Macaca mulatta: one gene and its partner. The protein of the gene in region 2 binds, or shares a complex with, the protein of the main gene of each other region. Links are inferred from orthologs where the notes say so. Each region holds a gene or a part of one and is shown on either strand. Other genes may lie near its edges. The genes, in order: MIDEAS and DNTTIP1.

Region 1 (4,493 bases), on a different chromosome or scaffold from region 2:
TGGGGAGGGGAAAGAAAAAGTTTTTCTGTTTGGTGCTGGGGCTAAAAATGTCATGTCAGAAAGCAGTGTGCGCTGTGTTCTTAAATAATGCCTAAAGTGGGCCTTAAAACAAGGGTCCCAGTCCCCACGTTCTCTCTAAAAGTCTGCATGATGTTCCTTGTCATTTCTACGGGTTATAAGTGAGCAAGACGTTTACCACGTATCACACTTCTGGGGGCTATTTCAGCGCCCAAGCTGAAGCTGGGGCTGCAGCATGGTTTCTGTTCTAATCCTCCCCCGCGATTTCCACCTCTTCCTTTACACTCAACTCACAGAGAATGGAGTCTGATGCATTCTGTTTCATCACCGGTCAAGAGTGACTTAGAGGGTAGGGTGGAGGCATGAGAAGGGCAGCTTCAGGCAATAGTAATCCTGAAATTTATCATTGCTAAAAATAAATGTGTTCACCTTATTAAAAAGTACAACGGAAAGCCACCTTTAGGGTAAGTAGCAACCAAGTAGTTAAACAGCAGTCTTGAAGGAAGAACTCCTGATCCCATAAGGCTGGAGAAAAAACGGGGTTAGCCTTTGCTGGTGAAAACAAAAACAAACAAACAAAAAGACATTCGAAACTGCAGTAAAGGGCTTTCATAACAGAAACATTAGCTTCATTGTAGCTTGTCGTGGAAAACAGGGATCTTTTAATAGGTGGTTCAAAAGCATGTTAGGGCTCAACAATTTTCCTTTTTTCCCCAAATACTGCTTCTCCTAGCACACTGGCCAGATAAAACCTACCCCTTCCAATGCTTCATCTTTTTATGAAAACACAGGAAACCATAGACTTGAGTGAAGGCTTTGTTCAGAAAGGTGGATGTAAGACTGGTGGAAAATGACATTTGGGAAATGATCCCCAGGTCTGTGTTAATCCCTCATGGAAAGCCACAGATTCACCCAAAGATAGGAAATATGAAGATCGAAGCTCTCCTAGCAACATGAAATCCTCCACGTTGCAGCTGCTTCGCCCTAGTTCTGATTTTTACTAAAACATTAATGGCACATCATAAATACAAAATGTGCAATGCAAGAAAAATAATACAGCTTTGAGAAATAAGTGCATCATTAGACTCAATAATTAAACTTCTCTGAAATTCTTCTTACATCACACTGTTGTGGGAAGATGGTGAAGGGATTGCCCATTTCAATTTTGGAATAAATAGAAGTAATTCCTTAGGGCATTCTGCTTAAGGCAACCAATGAGTAGAGAGAATATGTTATCCAGGCTTCTAAAGGCAATCATGTGATACTCCATATTTGCTAAAACAAGAGTTGAATTTTTTTTTGTTCTGTATGTGATTCCAAATTTTCAGTCACAATTTCATGAATATTCAGTATTTCTGCATGCCCAGGAGTAATTAGCAGACAGTGTAAATGTGTGAAGGCCTGACACTTACACATACATTGCTTTTCTCTCTATATAGGGTGGCAGTTGCTGGAGTACCAGGGCACCATGTGGAGGATGTGGTAGACAGCCTCTAAGATGCACCCCCTGCCAATGATCTCTGCCTCCAGGTATTCATACCCTTGTATAATCCTCTCCCTTAAGTGTAAGCTGAATTCATTGACTGAGTTCTGACAAATAGAATATGGCCAGTGATGTGATGTTACTTCTGAGACTAGGTTATAAAAAAAACTGCGGCTTCCGTACTCGGTCCTCTCTATGCCTTTCGCTCTCTCGGAACGCTCACTGTGGGGGAAGCCAACTGCCACGTCCTAAGGCAGCCTGGTAGAAAGGGAGCTAGGCCTGCCAACCACCATTTGAGAGAACCTGGAAAGGGATGCCTCTTCTTCCCCTATATGAATCAAGACTTCAGATAAGACCTTCAACCCCAGCCAATAGCTGAAGGGCCTCCCTCAGGCCCTTCAGGCAGAGGCACCCAGCTAAGCTGCCTGGATTCCTCACCCACAGAAACTATAAGATAATAAATGTTGTCTTAAGCTGCTGTGTTTTGAGGAATTCATTACACGGCCACTAATAAGACAGAGACCAGTAGAGAATCCATGGGGACTCAGTGACAACCCTGCATGGCCTTCCTGATAGAACATGGAAAGGAAAGCAGGGGCCGGAGCCAGATCTAAGCGTAAGACACAAACCCCAAGAACAGAAGGCCCAGCTCTCAGTCCTTTTGCAGAGCAAGGGTCATTCTTGACTTTAAACTAGGTCAGGGGGTGTGGACTCCTGCTCGGTCCCAGGCAGCCCTGGTATTGGGTGTCACCTACCTGACAGCACATGCAGATGTTTTTGTGTCATCAGAATTGACATCTGTCCAGGCATCCTCTTCCTCCATCTCCGGGCATTTACCCTGATCCCTAAGGGCTTGGCCCAAACAGTGGCTGTGGAGTCAGGGCTTCATCCTAGAAGGAGAGTTGGCAAGAAGGGCCTTCAACCCTGGCAGCCAGAAGGGGTAGGCGATTTTGGTTGGGGTGGAAGGTCAAAAAACTAGGAAGAAAGGCTTGTGGTCCTGCTGTTGAAGAGCAAGTCCTGGACTATCACTGATAAGGATCAACTCCACACTGCTGCTAGGGCGAGGGAGAACATTCTGTCCACGTGATGGTGTCTTTCTCTCAGCATCATTTCCTCTCTGGCTGGAACAAATTATTTACTTTTAAAATATAAAACAAAGGTTCAGGAAGCAGGAGAGATGTCATACTCAATCCCTGACCAGGGCAGGCATCTACTTGTGATTGCCCCCACGGCTCCCTCGCTTCAGTCAATCCAGTACAAGCCAGCAATTGTAGAGGCCGTTTCTGTTTTCCCTCCAGAGACACTAGGCTCTGATTTTTCTCATGTACAGTGGCCGCAGCTGCTGTGTTGCCATGCCGTCATCCGGTTGCTATGACTTGTGAGGTTGTGGATGTGCCAGAACGTGAATCTATTAATTTAACAGGAACTAGGCTCAGCACATATATTCCTTGTTAGGTCATTTGCTTTGCTACCTAAACCACATCCAATGTGTTCAGCAATGGGCATGTTTCCTAGAGTCTGGCTTTGCAAGAATGCCAAATGCCCCAAATTTTGAGTCTGCACAGTCAGTTTTATATAATTAAATTACTGTGGAGGACAGAAAGGCATTCTAGCATGGGGATGCAAACACATCGTTTCAGGGAAAAAAACCAAGGAGGGGGGAAATGGTTAAAGTCGCTGGTCCTAGTTCTTTATGCATTTAGGTCCTCTCTGCAGGAGGCGGATATACTCCTATCCATAGGAATTCCTCCCTGAGCCCGGTTGCTCACTGCCAAGGTCTGCGCTCTCCAACACCACACTAGGCATCATGTGGCACCATAGAGGGGAAGTACCATCCTTTTCTGTTGTGTTGAGCACATAGACAGACATTGTCTTTTTTTTTTTTTTTTTTTTTTTTGGAGACAGAGTCTCACTCTGTCTCCCAGGCTGAAGTACAATGGCATGATCTCAGCTCACTGGAACCTCTGCCTCCTGGGTTCAGACAATTCACCTGCCTCAGCCTCCCAAGTAACTGGGATTACAGGTTCCCGCCACTACGTCCAGCTAAGTTTTGTATTTTTAGTAGAGACAGGGTTTCACCATGTTGGTCAGGCTGGTCTTGAACTCCTGACCTCAGGTGATCTGCCTGCCTTAGCCTCCCAAAGTGCTGGGATTACAGACATGTGCCACCATGCCCAGCTCAGACAGGCATTTTCCACTCACTTCTTCAGTTAACACTCACTGGATGTCTATTACTGTGTATGCTAGGGATGCAAAGATGAAAAGAACAAAGTCCCTAGTGGGAGAGAATGACATACATTGCAATGCAGTATGAGAAGTATTCGAGTTGAGCTTTGCAGAGAGCACTATGAGATCTCAGAGAAGGGGGAAAGTAAGTCTGTCTCAGGAGAGGGGTTATGGGTCAGCACCAGGGTGTTTCTTTTTACAAAAAGAGAATATATTAAAACTTAACTTTTTGCATTGCATTAAGTATTGCATGCAATATTGGTTGTATTGCATTAAGTAATAATAAGTATTGTTTTGTGTAGCATTTGTTTCAATTATGTACTATATAGGTACATTCGTGCAGTGTCAGAATGTAAAACAAATTTCCTAGATTCAGATAAAGAAGTGTGAAAGTTCTGGGTTTAGAGACTGATAAATAAGGCTGGGTGTGGTGGTTCATGCCTGTAATCCCAGCACTTTGGGAGGCTGAGGTAGGTGGATCACCTGAGGTCAGGAGTTGGAGACCAGCCTGGCCAGCATGGTGAAACCTTGTCTCTACTAAAAATACAAAAATTAGCTGGCCATGTTGGCACATGCCTATAATCCCAACTATTCAGGAGGCTGGGGCAGGAGAATTGCTTAACCCGGGAGGCAGAGGTTTCAGTGAGCTGAGATCGTGCCATTGCACTCCAGCCTGGGCAACAAGAGCAAGACTCCATCTCAAGAAAAAAAAAAGAGGGGGAGAGAGAGAGAGAGAGAGATAAAGTGATAAATAACTACCACACAC
Region 2 (3,816 bases):
AGGCACAGAGGTGCTGAGTAAATCATGAAAGGTAAAAGTGAATGGCAGAGGTGCAACTAGAACCCAGATGTCCCGACTCCAAGATCAGTGTTTGTTCTAAGCTTCTCTGTGCTGAGTGGAGTTCCCAGTCTACTCCCAATGCAATGGCCTGCTTTCCTCTCAGCACTCACCTACCTTAAAGAGGTGTGGGTGCTTGATGTAGATTCTTCCTCTGGTGCCCCCCATCCCCAGCGCCCTGAAAAGTAAAAGCCAAGTGGTAAAGATTCCAGAAAGTGTAGTCCTACGAGTGAATTCCTGAGCTGTTTCCTCCATCAGTGCCAAAGCTCTTAAACTTACTTGTTGGCTCGAGATCCCAACACAAAGGTGGTAGATTCATTCAGGCGAGCTGGGTCCCACTGTGCAAAAAACAGAGAAGCTGGTGAGGGTGAAGTTTAATCTGGTGAGTAGGACAGAAATACTCCTCCCCCTGCCCTTTTCTAACCCTTACCCTTGTCTATTATTTAATCAACCGTTTACCTAAGACACTGAGTACTCACAATATGCTAGGCCCTGTCTGTGCTAGATACTGGGGATAAAGAGGTGAATAAGATACAGTCTCTGTTTTCTAGGATGCCACCGACATATGTACAGATAATTACATCATTATGCGATGAGGCAATGACACAGGTGAGTGCAGGGTCTGAGGGCTGCCGAGGGGAGGGTACAGCCAGGAAGGCTTCCTTAGAGAGGCATTTCCCAAGTTAATTCTGAAAGGGTGAGCACAAGTTGGGGTAAAGTGGGTGAGGAACAAGGGCATTCCAGACAGGGGGCAGCATGAGCAAAGACAGGTGAGAGGCAGCCTGGCATGCTGGAGAAACTGCTAGTAATTCTGTGCTGCTAACAGAGTACAAATTAGGGAGTGGCAACTGATGGGGCTGGAGAGAGAAACACAGAGGAGTAGGAGGTCCTGGGAGGTTATGTTCAGGGGACTGCATTTTATATCTTCTGTAGGCAATGGGGAATTGCTGAAGGCCTCTGAACAGGGAGTGAGAGATTTACTTTAAAGATAGGTTAGTCTTCTAGCAATGTGGATAATGGATTTGAAGGAGCAAGACTACAGGCAGGGAGAGCAGTTTAGAGGCCGCTGTGATAAAGCAGTTGGAAAGATGCTAAGGGCCTGAGCTAGGGCAGCAGTAAGGATGAAGAGAAGGAAATAGGAACTGCAATATATTTAAGAGGGAGAATTGTCCAGGACTTGACTGGATGTAGGGAGGTGAGGAAGAGGAGGAGGCAAAGATGATTAAGATAAACAATGTAAAGAAGGGCTGTGAGGAGATTCTGATTTCATGTTTGGATATGCTGAGTCTGAAATGACTATGGAACTTCCAGCAGAGTGGTCAACCAGATAGTAGGATATATAAGTTTTAAAGTAGAAAGAGAGGCATGGGATGGACAAAGAAGTATGGGAGTTTTAGAACATGGTGGTCCCTGAAACCATAAGAGTATATGATTTAGATTATCCAGAGAGTTACTTTAGATGGAGAAGTGGGCCAAGGAGAGAATTCTGGGGAACATCCATTTATATAAGTCACTGATGAGGAAGAACTCAGGAGAGAAAGGGAGGCAACAGAGGCTAATGGTTGAGAGCAGAGACTCTGGTGTCAGCGGGTCCTGGGTTTGAGACTTGGCTCGATCACTTACGAGTTATGTGACTTTGGGCAAGTCTTTTTTTTTTTTTTTTGAGACGGAGTCTCGCTCTGTCGCCCGGGCTGGAGTGCAGTGGCCGGATCTCGGCTCATTGCAAGCTCCGCCTCCTGGGTTCACGCCATTCTCCTGCCTCAGCCTCCGGAGTAGCTGGGACTACAGGCGCCCGCCACCTCGCCCGGCTAGTTTTTTGTATTTTTTAGCAGAGACGGGGTTTCCATGTTAACCAGGATGGTCTCGATCTCCTGACCTCGTGATCCTCCCGCCTCGGCCTCCCAAAGTGCTGGAATTACAGGCTTGAGCCACCGCGCCCGGCCAGACTTTGGGCAAGTCTTAAGTGCATTAAGTGTATAAGACAACTGAATAAAGTAATTTATGCCCACAGGGAAGTTGGCAGAAAAGGAAACCCCTTATTCATAGAATGGTTCACAGAATCGATCTCATGAGTTTGTTATAAAGATTAAATGAGACAGTCTACACAAAAGATTTAGGGCATTGCCTGTTACATACTAAGTATTGAGTCAGTATTAGTGACCACTAGCTCCTACAAGAAGGCTTCAGCAAAGAGTCAAGCCTTCTCTTTGTTTTGCCTCTAACTCCAATTCCCACACAGGATCCTCTCTGAGGCCAGTGTGGCTGGAGGTGGAGAGGGGGAAGATGGCTCTGGAATGGTGGACATGCATCCTTCGCCCCCTGCCCCTTTCCCCCATGGTGGATCCCAGAGATAGTGGGACTAGCTCCTGGGATAGTGGTCTCTGCCATGCTCATATAATCATACCTTAGGACCTTCCCGGCGAATTGGTTCACAGGATTTTGGTTTCCATCTGCTTGGAAGGAAAGAATAAAGGTGAATTCTCCAAGGTGAGACCTAGAACTGAATACTGGCTTGCTGGTGGTGGTAGGAGTTCCTCACACACTCTCACTTTAGCCTGGGTATCCTCCTTCGTGGTGACACATTAGAGGAGGAACAAACAGAAAAAAAGCACTGGACTAGAAGCCATTCTAGCACTAGCTCTGCTCTTACATAGTGGCATGAGCAACTCCAAGAACCTCTGAGTGGCAGTTTTCTCATCTGTCAAAAGAGACAAAAACAGCAACTGCCCTACCTATCTTGTGTTTGTGAGGAATAAAACTGCTTTGCGTAGGAGACACATCTAAGGTATGACAGTTAATACTATCCCATCTACTAAACCAGTTGTTTCAAACTAACCCCACGCCTCTGACCCAAACCAGTGTGGCTTTATTTGATTTAAATACTGGGCTTCCATGTAACGTTTTGTTTAAAAAAGATTCTGCTGCTTCAGAATTTTTTTAAAAAGTGGGGCTGGGGGGTGGGTTGAGGGGGGAAGGAAGGATGAATAGGCAGAGCACAGAGGATTTTTAGGGCAATGAAAGCACTCAGTGTGATATTAGAATGGTGGATGCCTGTCACTATGCATTTCTCTAAGTTCAGGTACAACACCAAGAGTGAACCCTCATGGAAACTATGCACTCTGAGGATCAAGACGAGTCAAAGCAGGCTCATCGAATGTAACAAATTTACCACTCTGGTGCCTGATGTTGATAATGGAGGAGGCTGTGCATGTGTAGGGGCAGGGAACATATGGGATAAGTCTGTACCTTCCTCTCAATTTTGCTGTGAACCTAAAACTGCTCTAAAAAAAATTAAGTCTAAAAAAAAATATATATATATATATATATGAAAATGACCAATTTGGAGGTAATGGTAACTATATGACATTAGGCAAGTAATTCTCTGAGTCTGTTCTGTATCTGAAAAATTAATGATACCTTCTTTAGAGGGTGGCTATAAAGATTAAAAGGTAAAGTATGTAACGTATTTAGACCAGTCATAAGCATTCAATATATACTAACAGTGACAAACCTCTGGTGTTCAATCAAGCTGGGCCAAATTGTTCAGGGGGTAAAACAATTTCCTCCTCACTACCCTTCTTCCTCACCCCTCAAACCAGGGTAACTCCCCTCCCTCCATGATGACTTAAGCTAATGGATCTGATTTTGACGGGCACAGAACCCTGGCCTCTTTTCCTTTAGGGCCCCTCTCTCCATCTGCTCCCCTATGCTATCACCACACTGTTGGTTCCTACTCACACCATGCCGGCGGCTGCCCGG

Evidence for each region.
Region 1: the proteins of DNTTIP1 (region 2) and MIDEAS are in contact, whole or in part, in a cryo-EM structure (PDB 6Z2J), measured with the Homo sapiens proteins. The link is inferred for Macaca mulatta from reciprocal best matches to the Homo sapiens genes DNTTIP1 and MIDEAS. Residues at the interface, in NP_443183.1 of Homo sapiens: Pro63, Ser66, Leu69, Leu70, Ala72, Val73, Leu74, Pro76, Ser77; in NP_001036783.1 of Homo sapiens: Gln768, Asp771, Leu772, Thr774, Ala775, Ser778, Ser779, Ile802, Leu803, Leu806.

The regions. Positions count from the first base shown.
Region 1 is NC_133412.1:146,959,391-146,963,883, forward strand, and holds the start of MIDEAS (mitotic deacetylase-associated SANT domain protein), read right to left. Parts: upstream 2,801-4,493; 5' UTR 2,257-2,800; intron 1,549-2,256; exon of another isoform or gene 1,458-1,548; intron 1-1,457.
Region 2 is NC_133415.1:98,590,860-98,594,675, reverse strand, and holds part of DNTTIP1 (deoxynucleotidyltransferase terminal-interacting protein 1), read right to left. Parts: coding exon 3,796-3,816; intron 2,508-3,795; coding exon 2,462-2,507; intron 396-2,461; coding exon 337-395; intron 236-336; coding exon 175-235; intron 1-174. UniProt on the Homo sapiens protein: Increases DNTT terminal deoxynucleotidyltransferase activity (in vitro). Also acts as a transcriptional regulator, binding to the consensus sequence 5'-GNTGCATG-3' following an AT-tract.